2 linked regions of the Anolis sagrei genome follow. The protein of the gene in region 2 interacts with the protein of the main gene of each other region in a pairwise test. Links are inferred from orthologs where the notes say so. Each region holds a gene or a part of one and is shown on either strand. Other genes may lie near its edges.

Region 1 (7,132 bases), on a different chromosome or scaffold from region 2:
CGACAGATTAGAGAGATGGGCCAAAACTAACAAAATGAAGTTCAACAGTGACAAATGCAAGATACTCCACTTAGGCAGAAAAAAAGTTCAAAGATACAGAATGGGGGATGCCTGGCTCGAGAGCAGTATGTGTGAAAAAGATCTTGAAGTCCTTGTGGACAGCAAGTTAAACATGAGCAAACAATGTGATGTGGCGGCAAAAAAAGCCAATGGGATTTTGGCCTGCATCAATAGGAGCATAGTGTCTAGATCTAAGGAAGTAATGCTATCCCTCTATTCTACCTTGGTTAGACCACACCTGGAATATTGTGTCCAATTCTGGGCACCACAATTGAAGAGAGATGTTGACAAGCTGGAATGAGTCCAGAGGAGGATATTAACTTTATTTGTACCCCGCTAACATCTCCCGAAGGACTCGGTTCGGCTTACAAAGGCCAAGGCTCTCAATAAAACAACAGCATAACATGTACAACAATAAAATTCATAAAGCAAACCAATAAACATTAAAAGCAATAGCAATAAAACATTAAAAACAATACATCATAACACATTTAAAACTAGGGCCGGGCCAAATGTAATGACTAAAATTAAAAGTGCTGGACATGACAGGTGAAATGTAAGGATTTTAGGGTAGGTGCGATGTGCAGGCAATCTTAAATCTCTAGTAAAGTGCGTTTGGGACATGATACTGGGAGATTCCTATTCTGGAAAGGCACACTGGAACAGCCAGGTCTTCAAGCTCTTCCGAAAGACTGCCAACATTGGGGCTTGTCTGATGTCCTTGGGGAGAAAGTTCCAGAGTCGGGGGGCCACCACAGAGAAGGCCCTGTCCCTCGTCCCCACCAAACGCACTTGCGACGCAGGTGGGATCGCGAACAGGCCTCTCCAGATGAACGGAGGGATCGTGTGGGTTCATATACGGAGATGCGGTCACGCAGGTAGGCAGGTCCCAAACTGTTTAGGGCTTTGTAGGTGAGCACCTGCACCTTGAATTGGGACCGGAAAATGAATGGCCCCCCGACTCTGGAACTTTCTCCCCAAGGACATCAGACAAGCTCCTGAAATCAGACAAGCTCCTTGGGGAACTTTCTCCCCAAGGACATCAGACGGAGCTCCTTAAACAGGAGGGTTGACCTCTCTCTGTAAGGAGCACCAGTTAACAACCTGGCCGCCGCCCATTGGACCAGTTGGAATTTCCGAGCCGTTTTCAAGGGCAGCCCCACATACAGCGCATTACAGTAGTCCAATCTAGAGGTGACCAAGGCATGGACCACCCCGGCCAGATCAGCCTTGTTGTGTGATTTATGTAATTTTAATGTTTTAAATTGTATTATGATACTATGTATACTGTTTTGTTGGAAACCGCCTTGAGTCACTGATAGGCTGAGAAAGGCGGTATACAAATACGGTAAATAAATAAATAAATACTATGGAGAATATATATTTTTTTGTCTTGTCAGGAGCGACTTGAGAAACTGCAAGTCTCTTCTGGTGTGAGAGAATTGGCCGTCTGCAAGAACGCTGCCCAGGGGACGCCCGGATGTTTTGATGTTTTTATCATCCTTGTGGGAGGTTTCTCTCATGTCCCCGCAATGGGGAGCTGGAGCTGACGGAGTGAGCTCATCCACGCGCTCCCCAGATTTGAACCTGCGACCTGTCAGTCTCCTGCTGGCACAAGGGTTTAACCCATTACGCCACCGGGGGCTCCTATCTATATCAATAAAAATGTAATGTTCGTTTGTGGGATTAACAGAACTCAAAAACCACTGGACGAATTGACACCAAATTTGGACAGAATATGCCTAACAACCCAATGTATGTCCTTCACTCAAAAAAATTGATTTTGTCATTTGGGAATTGTAGTTACGGAGATTTATAGTTCACCTACAATCAAAGAGCATTCTGAACCTCACCAACGATGGAACTGAATCAAACTTGACACACAGTTTTCCCATGACCAACAGAAAATACTGGAAGGGTTTGGTGGGCAGTGTCCTTTGGTTTTGGGGTTGTAGTTCACCTACATCCAGAGATCACTGTGGACTCAAACAATGATGGGTCTGGACCAAACTACATGAATACTCAATATGCCCAAATGTGAACACTGGTGGAGTTTGGGGGAAATAGACCTTGACATTTAGTAGTTATAGTTGCTGGGATATATAGTTCACCTACAATTCTGAACCCCACCAATGATAAAATTGGGCCAAACTTCCCATAGAGAATACCCATGACCAACAGAAAATATTATGTTTCCTGATAATCTTGGGTGACCCCCATCTTGACATTTGGGAGTTGTAGTTGCTGGGATTTATAGTTCACCTACAATCGCAGAGCATTCTGAACCCCACCAATGATAGAATTGGGCCAAACCTCCCCTATGTGGGCCACAGCAACGTGTGGCAAGGGACGGCTAGTGGAGAATATTTTTTTGTCCTGTCAGGAGCGACTTGAGAAACTGCAAGTCGCTTCTGGTGTGGGAGAATTGGCCGTCTGCAAGGACGCTGCCCAGGGGACGCCCGGATGTTTTGATGTTTTATCATCCTTGTGGGAGGCTTCTCTCATGTCCCCGCAATGGGGAGCTGAAGCTGACGGAAGGAGCTCATCCACGCTCTCCCCGGATTCGAACCTGCGACCTGTCGGTCTTCAGTCCTGCTGGGACAAGGGATTAACCCACTGCACCATGGAGAATAAAATCACCCAATGTGAGTTCCGTGGAAGCGGGAGGGCTAATTCGGGAAGGGCGCCAGGCAGGGAGGGAGCTCACCGTCTCTTCGGGCTCCATCCGGATCTTGAAGGTCTGCTGCTGGAGGGTCTTGAGGGTGACGGTCACCGCCATGGCGGCGGGAGCGAAGGCCCAAGAGGCGGCGGCAGCGGCGGCGAAGACGGGCGGTTCCTGCCAACGGACTCAGCGGGGGCCCCCACCACAACATGCAACTTCACGCCGCCGCCATTTTAATCGCCCCTTGGCGCCACTTCCGTTGCCCGCCAGGCCCTCCCCACGTGACGCGGGAAGGACGAATGGGGCAACGCGCGTGGCTCACGACCATAGAGTCGGAGGCTGAGGAGGGAGTCTGACTTCCGGGTGGTGTGCCAGCGGGAGGGGGCGGGGGTTAATCTTCACGGGCCTCCTTTTTCCCGCCACTGCTTTGGAGCCGCTCTTCCAACCATAGGGATTGATCAGGGACTGCAAGCTGCACCTCAGCGCTTTGAGGGGACTCTTCTGAACGCTGTGAAAAAGATCTTGGGAGTCCTCATGAACAACCAGTTAAACATGAGCCCACAATGGGATGCGGTGGCAAAAAAAGCCAATGGATCAATAGGAGCATAGTGTCTAGATCTAGGGAAGTCATGCTCTCCCTCTATTCTGCCTTGGTTAGACCACACCTGGAATATTGTGTCCAATTTTGGAGTCCACAATTGAAGAGAGATGAGGGCGACTAAAATGATCAAGGGTCTGGAGAACAAGCCCTATGAGGAGCGGCTTATGGAGCTGAGCATGTTTAGCCTGAAGAGAAGGTTGAGAGGCAAGATACTCCACTTAGACAGAAAAAACGAAATGCAAAGATACAAAATGGGGGACAATGCCTGGCCCAAGAGCAGTACGTCTGAAAAAGATCTTGGAGTCCTCGAGGAAAACAAGTTAAACATGAGCCAACAATGTGATGTGGCAGCAAAAAAGCCAATGGGATTTTGGCCTGCATCAGTAGGAGCCTAGTGTCTAGATCTAGGGAAGTAATGCTACCCCTCTATTCTGCTTTGCATAGACCACACCTGGAATACTGTGTCCAATTCTGGGCACCACTATTGAAGGGAGAAGTTGACAAGCTGGAATGTGTCCAGAGGAGGGCGACTAAAATGATCAAGGGTCTGGAGAACAAGCTCTATGAGGAGCGGCTTAAGGAGCTGGGCATGTTTAGCCTGAAGAAGAGAAGGATGAGAGGAGATATGATAGCCATGTATAAATATGTGAGAGGAAGCCACAGGGAGGAGGGAGCAAGCTTGTTTTCTGCTTCCCTGGAGACTAGGACGTGGAACAATGATTTCAAACTACAAGAAACATGAGGAAGAACTTCCTGACTGTGAGAGCCGTTCAGCAGTGGAACTCTCTGCCCCAAAGTGTGGTGGAGGCTCCTTTGGAAGCTTTTAAACAGAGTCTGGATGGCCATCTGTCATGGGTGATTTGAATGCAATATTCCTGCTTCTTGGCAGGACGTTGGACTGGATGGCCCATGAGGTCTCTTCCAACTCTTTGATTCTAGGAGACATGGTGAGGGCCATGTATAAATATGTGAGAGGAAGTCATAGGGAGGAGGGAGCAAGCTTGTTTTCTGCTGTCATGAAGACTAGGACGCAGAGCAATGGCTTCAAACTTGAGGGTGACGCAGCATAACTTCCTTTTTTCAAAACTTAATAAAACCCATTGAATGAATCAGAATTTTTATTTTATTTTTTTGTAATGTAAGCGCCTACCTAAAGTTTTGTTTTACATAGTTTTGAAGATCAAATTAGGTAGGTGACGTCCCCCATTCTCCATACACTGAGTAAACCGATTTTTGGCTTTTGTCATGACTCTTGCCAGCATAGCAGGCGTTATGTTGGCAGTTTCTTCCTGGATGTTGGTCTTCAAATCTTGTAGGGTCCTTGGACGGTTCACATAAACACGGGATTTCAAAAAACCCATAGAAAAAAATCACAAGGGGCCAAATCTGGAGAGCGGGCCGGCCACTCCAAATCCGCTCGAAAAGTAGGCCTCAATGGCAAAAGCACGCTCCTCACTGTCCCAACGCATGATGCCGACTGAACTGTGTCAGGACAAAAATTTATACTCCCGCCTCTCGAACAAGACCACATCTTCAACCGACTGAATGGTACGCATTTTAAAAAAGGAAGTTATGCTGCCTCACCCTGTACAAGAAAGGAGATTCCATCTGAATATTAGGAAGAACTTCTTCACCGTGACAGCTGTTCAGCAGTGGAACTCTCTGCCCCGGAGTGTGGTGGTGGCTCCTTGACATCCGCCAGAAAATAGCAGACTGTAACGAAAGGACCAGAGCATTGACATGTCCAGCCCAGTGTGCAATACGAGGGTTGGAACTTTAATAGTGGCAACACTACTGTAAAGACGCCATGCAACGAAACCAAAGAATGTTGCGTATACCACACATTAGTTACATACCTACCTTACCGCTGAGCAAAAATACTCACCATTTCTACATTACGGGCATGTGGAGTGATGTGAAAAACTGAGATTTGTATTAGCTTGCAGTCTAAAGTAACTGTTGACAAGATGTTTTTGAAATAAGAACAACAGAGTTGGATAAAGATTGAATGTGCCAGAGGTTGTACGGTCATATGCGCAAATCCTGTGTTTTGGGCCAGCTCATGAATTGTATGGTGTCGATCACTGTCTACAAGTGCAGCAACAGCATTCACTTCTGCTTTGCTGACACTAGGATGACCTGACCAATGCATGTCTGCCACATTTTGGCATCATTCGTTGAAGGCTTTTACCCACCTTGCCACTGTTCTATAAGGCAATGCAGATTCCCTGCAAGCCTCTTGAAAACCTTGATGACACTGTCGTGCTGTACGACCTCTGGCACATTCAATCTTTATCCATCTCTGTTGTTCTTGTTTAGAAAACATCGTGACGACACTTATTAGACCGTAAACTAATTCGAGGCTCAGTTCTTCGTGTCACTCCGTATGCGCATGATGTAGGAAGGGCGAGTCTTTTTGCTCAGAGTTAAGGTAGGTATGTAACTAACGTGGTTTACGCGACATTCTTTGGTTTTGTTGCATGGCGTCTTTACAGCAGTGTTGCCACTATTAAGGTTCCAACCCTTGTATATCCCACCACATTAAAACAGTGGATGTGGCTCTTAATTAGACATGCCACATTATCATAGGATGTCTATGCCCAACATCGCTAGAAAATTATACTATATTGTACCACCTGACATCTGTTGAGAAGTAGCAGCTGGTATTGAAATGACCAAGGCATCGACATCTTCGGCCCAGCCTCTGTTCAGATATCTGCCAACATAACCAAGTCTTAAACCAAGAAATAGCTTCCTAAGATCTATAGAGATACTTGCAGGCACATCTCAGCAAGTGAGAGTCCAAAAGTGGCAGGTTAAAATCCAGAATCTCAATCAGCTGATACCAGATGAGAAACTCCCCCCTAGGCACAGAAAACTGGGCGACTTGGAAGGTGTTGAGCAGACTGAGCTCTGGCACCACGAGATGCAGAGCCAATCTTAAGAAATGGAGCCACAAAGTGGAGTCCATGACATGTAAATGTGGAGAAGAGCAAAGCACAGACCACTCACTACAATGCAGTCTGAGCCCTGCCACATGCACAGTGGAGGGTCTTTTCACAGCAACACCAGAAGGCACTCAAAGTGGCCAGCTTCTGGTCAAAAGAAATTAAGTATAATGCCAAGTTTTAACTTTGTGGTTTTTCATACATTATAACTGTATTCTCAATTCCTTCTGACATGATAAATAAAATCTTGTCTCAGAACTGCAATGGACAACTATCAAAGACTGCCATATTCTGCAGTTTGAACTCCACTGACCATGTTATACAAGTCTACGTTTAGCTGCATTAAATAATAATAATAATAATAATAATAATACTTCTTACCCGCCTCTCCTTATGGCTCAAGGCAGGTTACAAAACAATTAAAATACACAGCAAAAACACTAAAATGAACCTTCATAAAAATTACACACCAAAACGTATCTACAATTACATACTAAAACACACAAAACAGAGATCAAACAAAGGACACTTAACATTCATGTTTAGATTGAGTAGGCTTGCCAGAAAAAATAGGTCTTTACATGGTTTTTAAATTCTGACAGCTCATTTAGCTGTTAGTTCTTCCGGTGGGTTGTTCCAGTCATGGGCGGCTGACGAAAAGATCCTCTGGGTGGTAGTTGCCAGTTGAGTTCTAGCTGGTTGGAGCAGACGCCCCACAGAAGACCAAAGTGTGTGGGGTGCATTGTATGGGAGAAGGTGATCCTTTATGTAACCTGGACTCAAACCATGTAGGGCTTTAAAGATCAAAACCTTGTACTTTCCCAGAAACTAATTGGCAGCCAGTGGAGTGACTTTAGGATA
Region 2 (7,760 bases):
CTACAACTCCTGGGATTCCATAGCATTTGATGCCATTTTAATCACTGTAGCTCAACACCATGGAGTTCTGGGAGTTGTAGTTTGGCAAAGGCCCCAGCACTCTTTGGCAAAGAAAACCGGAGTCCTTGCAAAACTACAACTCCCAAGATTCCATAGCATTTGAGCCATTGGCTGCGAAAGTTTGGGAAGCACTGGTTCTGAGATGCATAGCAATTCTTAGGAATCTTTGCACTCTGCACATGCTCTTCCAAACTTTTACAGCTTGGAAAAGTTACTTTTTCTTTGGACTAGAATCCACCCAGATTCTTGGAATTCGATGCAAAATATAATGACGGATAAGGTATTTTGGTAGGTCCAGTTTTGGGGAGGAAAAGTTACTTTTCCCAACTTTATGACACACTGGATCAACACAGCTTCAGAATGCACTGAACTGGATTATATGGCAAGTGTAGACTCACATAATCCAGATCGGTGCAGCTCATTTGCATTCTGAAGCAAAAGGGTGTAGACGCAGACTCATTCTTCTCCTAATGCAGTTTTGGCATATATTGAAAAGGGTCATACGGCAAATGTAGACTCATATAATCCAGTTCGATGCTGGTAATCCCAGGGACAGGTCCGGACAGGTCAATACGAATTTCAGCAAAGAGGAAGACCCAGAATTGGGGGAAAATACGGCCTCCGTCCCATCCCTGTTAGGCAGGCACCGACTTGCCTGAAACAAAGCAGAGAAAGCCTGGAGGTTAGTCATTTTGCTGGTATTTGTTGCCACTAAAGTTGCCTGGGCCAACTTGGGCCCTCCAGGTGTTTTGGACTACAACTCCCACAATTCCTAACCGCCTACCGGCGGTTAGGAATTGTGGGAGGTGTAGTCCAAAACATCTGGAGGTCCCAAGTTGGCCCAGGCTTGTGATATAATCATTCATTCAAAGACTCTAAAAGGCAATGGAGTCCGACCGGATAGGAAGGCACAATCCAATCCCTCCCAACAGATGGCCATCCAGCTGTAGATTCAAAAACTCCAGCTTATCCCACTCTCAGGAAGTCCTTCTAAAAGTGTGATATAACCATGCATTCATAGAGTTGGAAGATATTCTAAAAGGCCATCCAGTCCAACCAGGTAGGATGGCACAATCCAATCCCTCCCAACAGATGGCCATCCAGCTGTAACTTCAAAACCTCCAGCTTATCCCACTCTCAGGAAGTCCTTCCAAAAGTGTGATATAACTATGCATTCATAGAGTTGGAAGAGACTCTTAAAGACCACGCAGTCCAATCAGATAGGAAGGCACAATCCAATCCCTCCCAGCAGATGGCCATCCAGCTGTAGCTTCAAAACCCTCCATTCTATTCCACTCGGGAAGTCCTTCCAAAAGTGTGATAGAATCATGCATTCATAGAGCTGGAAGAGACTCTTAAAGTCACAATCCAATCCTTCCCAACAGATGGCCATCCATTCAAGACTTCTAGCCTATCCCACTCTCAGGAAGTCTTTCCAAAAAATGGGATGGAATCATGCATTCACAGAGTTGGAAGAGACTCTTAAAGGCCATCCAGTCCAACCAGATAGGAGGGCACAATCCAATCTCTCCCAACAGATGGCCATCCAGCTGTAGCTTCAAAACCCTCCATTCTATTCCACTCGGGAAGTCCTTCCAAAAGTGTGATAGAATCATGCATTCATAGAGCTGGAAGAGACTCTTAAAGTCACAATCCAATCCCTCCCAACAGATGGCCATCTAGCTGTAGATTCAAAACATCCAGGCTATTCCATTCCCAGGAAGTCCTTCCAAAGTGTGAGAGAATCATGCATTTATAGAGCTGTAAGAGACTCCTAAAGGCCATGCAGTCCAACCAGATAGGAAGGCATAATCCAATCCCTCCCAACAGATGGCCATCCAGCTGTAGCTCTAAAACATCCAGCTTATCCCATTCTCAGGAAATCTTTCCAAAAGTGTGACATAATCATGCATTCATAGGGTTGGAAGAGGCTCTTAAAGGCACAATCCAATCCCTCCCAACAGATGGCCATCCAGCTGTAACTTCAAAACCCTCCATTCTATTCCACTCTCAGGAAGTCCTTTCAAAAGTGTGATATAACCATGCATTCAGAGTTGGAAGAGACTCTTAAAAGCCATCCGGTCCAACCAGATAGGTCACAATCCAATCCCTCCCAACAGATGGCCATCTAGCAGTAGATTCAAAACATCCAGCCTATCCCATTCCCAGGAAGTCCTTCCAAAAGTGTGATAGAATCATGCCTTCATAGAGTTGGAAGAGACTCTTAAAGGCCATCCAGTCCAACCAGATAGGAGGGCACAATCCAATCTCTCCCAACAGATGGTCATCCAGCTGTACCTCCAAAACCTCCAGCTTATCCCACTCTCAGGAAGTCCTTCCAAAAGTGTGATAGAATCATGCATTCATAGAGTTGGAAGAGACTCTCAAAGGCACAATGCAATCCCTCCCAACAGATGGCCATCCAGCTGTAGCTTCAAAACATCTCCAGCCTATCCCACTCTCAGGAAGCCCTTCCAAAAGTGTGACATAACCATGCATTCATAGAGTTGGAAGAGACTCTTAAAGGCACAACATAATCCCTCCCATCAGATGGCCATCCAGCTGTAACTTCAAAACTCTCCAGCTTATCTCACTCCCAGGAAATCCTTCCAAAAGTGTGACATAATCATGCATTCATACAATTGGAGGAGACTCTAAAAGGCACAATCCAATCCCTCCCAACAGATGGCCATCCAGCTATATCTCCAAAACCCTCCATTCTACTCCACTCTCTGGAAGTCTTTCCAAAAGTGTGATATAACCATGCATTCATAGAGTTGGAAGAGACTCTAAAAGGTCATCTCGTCCAACCAGATAGAAGGGCACAATCCGATCCCTCCCAACAGATGGCCATCCAACTGTAGGTTCAAAACCCTCCATTCTATTCCACTCTCAGGAAGTCCTTCCAAAAGTGTGATATAACTACATTCATAGAGTTGGAAGAGGCTCTTAAAGGCTATTCAGTCCAACTATAAGATCACAATCCAATCCCTCCCAACAGATGGCCATCCAGTTGTACCTCCAAAAGCTACAGCCTATCCCACTCTCAGGAAATCCTTCCAAAAGTGTGACATAACCATGCATTCATACAGTTGGAGAAGACTTTTAAAGGCACAATCTAATCTCTCCCAACAGATGGCCATCCAGCTGTAGGTCCAAAACTCTCCAGTTTATCCCACTCCCAGGAAATCCTTCCAAAAGTGTGACATAACCATGTATTCACTGAGTTGGAAGAGATTCTAAAAGGCCATCCAGTCCAACCAGATAGGAGGTCACAATCCAATCCCTCCCATCAGATGGCCATCCAGCTGTAACTTCAAAACTCTCCAGCTTATCTCACTCCCAGGAAATCCTTCCAAAAGTGTGACATAATCATGCATTCATACAATTGGAGGAGACTCTAAAAGGCACAATCCAATCCCTCCCAACAGATGGCCATCCAGCTATATCTCCAAAACCCTCCATTCTACTCCACTCTCTGGAAGTCTTTCCAAAAGTGTGATATAACCATTCATTCATAAAGTTGGAAGAGACTCTAAAAGGTCATCTAGTCCAACCAGATAGGGGGACACAATCCAATCCCTCCCAACAGATGGCCATCCAGATGGCCATGAATTCATGGTTATATCACATCCAGTTGTACCTCCAAAAGCTATAGCTTATCCCTCTCTCAGGAAGGCCTTCCAAAGTGTGATAGAATCATGCATTCATAGAGTTGGAAGAGACTCTTAAAGGCACAATGCAATCCCTCCCAACAGATGGCCATCCAGCTGTAGCTTCAAAACTCTCCAGCCTATCCCATTCCCAGGAAGTCCTTCCAAAAGTGTGACATAACCATGCATTCATAGAGTTGGAAGAGACTCTTAAAGGCACAACACAATCCCTCCCAACAGATGGCCATCCAGCTGTAGCTCCAAAACCCTCCATTCTATTCCACTCTCAGGAAGTCTTTCCAAAAGTGTGATAGAATCATGCATTCATAGAGTTGGAAGAGACTCTAAAAGGTCATCTAGTCCAACCAGATAGGAGGGCACAATCCAATCCCTCCCAACAGATGGCCATCCAGCTGTAGATTCAAAAACTCCAGTTTATCCCACTCTCAGGAAGTCCTTCCAAAAGTGTGATAGAATCATGCATTCATAGAGTTGGAAGACTCTTAAAGGCCATCCAGTCCAACCAGATAGGTGGTCACAATCCAATCCCTCCCAACAGATGGCCATCCAGCTGTAGATTAAAAAACTCCAGCTTATCCCACTCTCAGGAAGTCCTTCCAAAAGGGTGAATCATGCATTCATAGAGTTGGAAGAGACTCTAAAAGGTCATCTAGTCCAACCAGATAGAAGGGCACAATCCAATCCCTCCCAACAGATGGCCATCCAACTGTAGATTCAAAATTCTCCACTCTATCCCATTCTCAGGAAGTCTTTGAGAAAGTGTGACACAATCATGCATTCATACAATTGGAGGAGACTCTTAAAGGCACAATCCAATCTCTCCCAACAGATGGCCATCCAGCTGTAGGTCCCAAACTCTCCATTCTATTCCACTCTCAGGAAGTCCTTCCAAAGTTCTGCCTCCCAGTTCATTCATTCCCTTCCCATTCATTCCCAATATCTCTCTTTTTCCTCCTCCTTCCTTCTATTTCTCCTCCCCAAATCTCCCCCCTCCCCTTGACCCTCCTCCCACCGGAAGTGGCAGGAATTCCCAGGCTCCACGTGACGCTTTGGAATGCGGTGACGTCATCCCCGGGGTCTGTGCCTCTCTCTCTCCATTGCCTTTTGCAAAAAAATAAAAATACAGGAAAGTTGGAAAGGAAGCAGGAGCAGGAGCGGAGGACCCAGGTGAGAGCAGGTAGGAAGGCTCTACTCTTGGAAAAGTTACTTTTTGCAACCAACAGCATGGCTAGGAGCGAAGGGTGTAATGGGGGGAAACTTCTCCCCCCCCAAAAAGAGTGGAAAAGTTACTTTTTTCCTCATTGCTAGGTTCTAGGAGACTTCGACCCTCAAAAAGTAACTTTTCTTAAGTTCTAATAAGACATCTCTTTGATCTGTTAGGAAACCTCTTTCTTCCTTCATTCCTCCAATAGAAAAGTAACTTTTGCAAGGTCTGATAAGAAATCCCACCTCTCTCCTACTTTTTTGGTGGTGTTGGGGTCTCCAAAAAGTAACTTTTCCAAGGCTGGTTGATTCTGAATGATTGTGGGAAGTTTCAGGCAAGAAAGTAACTTTAATCTCCTTCTTTCCCCCCCCCCCCCTCCTTTTTGGTGGTTTTGGGATACGAAAAAAAGTAACTTTTCCAAGGCCTGTTGATTCTGAATGATTGTGGGAAGTGTCAGGCAAGAAAGTAACTTTAATCTCCTTCTTCCCCACCCTTTTTGGTGGTTTTGGGATCCCAAAAAAGTAACTTTTCCAAGGCCTGTTGATTCTGAATGATTGTGGGAAATGTCAGGCAAGAAAGTAACTTTAATCTCCTTCTTTCCCCCCTCCTCCTCCTTTTTGGTGGTTTTGGGATCCCAAAAAAGTAACTTTTCCAAGTCCTGTTGATTCTGAATGATTGTGGGAAGTGTCAGGCAAGAAAGTAACTTCTTCCAGCCATTAGTGACCACATTCTGGTTTCTTCCCATTTCCTCCAAGCCATGCTTGAGTGAGGAGAGTAACTTGGAAAAAACTTGGAAAAAAGTAACTTTTCTAAAGTTCTAATAACCCTTGGATTGATAGGAAACCTCTCTCTTCCTTCATTCTTCCTACAGAAAAGTAACTTTTGCAAGGTCTGATAAGGAAACTTCTTTTTTTCCCCTTCCTCTTACGTTTTGGTGGTTTTGGGGTCCCAAAAAAGTAACTTTTCCAAGGTTTATTTATTCCAAGGTTTGTTTTTCCAGCATTTGTGACCACATTCTGGTTCCTTCCCATTTTCCCCAAGCCATGCTTGATTGAGGAGAGTAAAACTTGGAAAAAGTAACTTTTCCAAACTCTGACCATTCCCATTAATTTTTTCCATGCTGATTAAGGAGAATGCTGTCTTGGGGGACTATGGTCTAAAAACAAGTAACTTTCCCAAGCATCTCCTTTGCTGGCTGAAGATGTCTAGGGGCTGGAGACCAAAAAAGTAACTTTCCCAAGCTCTGACCATTCCCATTAATTTTTTTCCGTGCTGGTTAAGGAGAATTCTGTCTTGGGGGACTATGATGTTAAAAAAGTAACTTTTATGAGCATCCCTTTTGCTGGCTGAAGAGATCCTGGGGGCTGGAGACCCAAAAAGTAACTTTTCCAAAGATTCCTTTTGGGTTTTTTCCCCATGCTGATTAAGGAGAATGCTGACTTGGGGACTGTGGTTTTTAAAAAGTAACTTTTCCAAGCATCCCTTTTGCTGATTGGAGACCAAAAAAGTAACTTTTCCCAGCTCTGAATATTTGAAAGTATATTTTTATTGCTTTTTATTTCTTTGTGGATTGAATGGCGATGCAGAGAATATATGTCAATTAAATCATTTTAATTTAAAATATTGCATTATTTTAAATTAAAACGAATTAATTGACATATTTAGGTATTTATTATTATTATTATATACACATTGTTTATTTGAAATCCGAAATTAGATTAAACATATTTTTATTGCTTCTTAATTTTTTGTGGATTGAATGGCGATGCAGAAAATATATGTCAATTAAATCATTTTAATTTAAAATAAATTATTATTATTATGTACATTATATATATATAATATATATATTTAATACATAAATATGTCAATTAAATCATTTTAATTTAAAATAATGCATTATTTTAAATTAAAATGAATTAATTGGCATATTTAGGTATTATTATTTATTATTATTATTATTATTATTACACATTTTTATTTGAAATCCAAAATTAGATTAAACATAATTTTGGAAAAAAGGGTTCCCAAAATCCACAACGATCCACCTGGGTGGCTGGCTGGGAAAGGATTGTACGTACGCAGACGTTGTTACCTGTGCAAAATGATTTTTGCAAATATATGATAACATTACCTTCAGGCTACGTCTCGAAGGCGCATGGATGCAACATCAGTGCAATTTCATGTCTCGACTTGGGCCTGGGTTTGTTTATTATGTCTATGCAAATATTCCAAAACACATTTGCTCCCTGAGCATTTTGGATAGGCTCAGCTGATCCTGGGAAAGAATCAGAAGTCTTGGGGTGCATCACTCTATACCAGACCTGGGCAAACTTTGGCCCTCCAGGTGTTTTGGATTGCAACTCCCATCATTCCTAACAGCCTCAGGCCCCTTCCTTTTCCCCCTCAGCCGCTTAAGCGGCTGAGGGGGAAAAGGAAGGGGCCTGAGGCTGTTAGGAATGATGGGAGTTGCAATCCAAAACACCTGGAGGGCCAAAGTTTGCCCATGCCTCCTCTGCACTATAAAATTAATGCAGTTTGGTACCACTTTAACCGCTATGGGTAAATTACTATGGAACCCAGGGAGCTGTAGTTTTGCAAGGCCTTTGCAAAGGACAGAAAAAGAAGGGGATAAATCTCCATTTCCTTTCTATGTTTCTCCTAAAATGGATATATATCCACACACACACACAAACACAAGAGATGAGATATATAATTTGCTAGCTTTGCGGCTTTCAGGGTGTGTCAAAGAGCTTCTGCTTCTTTGTTTAGCGGAACTGAAACCAGACTTTTTCTGAGTCAGCCCTCCTCCAGATGGGTTG

Evidence for each region.
Region 1: the proteins of TRIP6 (region 2) and RAD23A interact in binary tests that used the Homo sapiens proteins (3 or more experiments, as listed by UniProt). The two-hybrid records come from large-scale screens. The link is inferred for Anolis sagrei from reciprocal best matches to the Homo sapiens genes TRIP6 and RAD23A.

Annotation. Positions count from the first base shown.
Region 1 is NC_090022.1:162,470,608-162,477,739, reverse strand, and holds the start of RAD23A (UV excision repair protein RAD23 homolog A), read right to left. Parts: upstream 3,004-7,132; 5' UTR 2,840-3,003; coding exon 2,768-2,839; intron 1-2,767. UniProt on the Homo sapiens protein: Multiubiquitin chain receptor involved in modulation of proteasomal degradation. Binds to 'Lys-48'-linked polyubiquitin chains in a length-dependent manner and with a lower affinity to 'Lys-63'-linked polyubiquitin chains.
Region 2 is NC_090026.1:4,965,841-4,973,600, forward strand, and holds the start of TRIP6 (thyroid receptor-interacting protein 6), read left to right. Parts: upstream 1-4,759; 5' UTR 4,760-4,911; intron 4,912-7,760. UniProt on the Homo sapiens protein: Relays signals from the cell surface to the nucleus to weaken adherens junction and promote actin cytoskeleton reorganization and cell invasiveness. Involved in lysophosphatidic acid-induced cell adhesion and migration.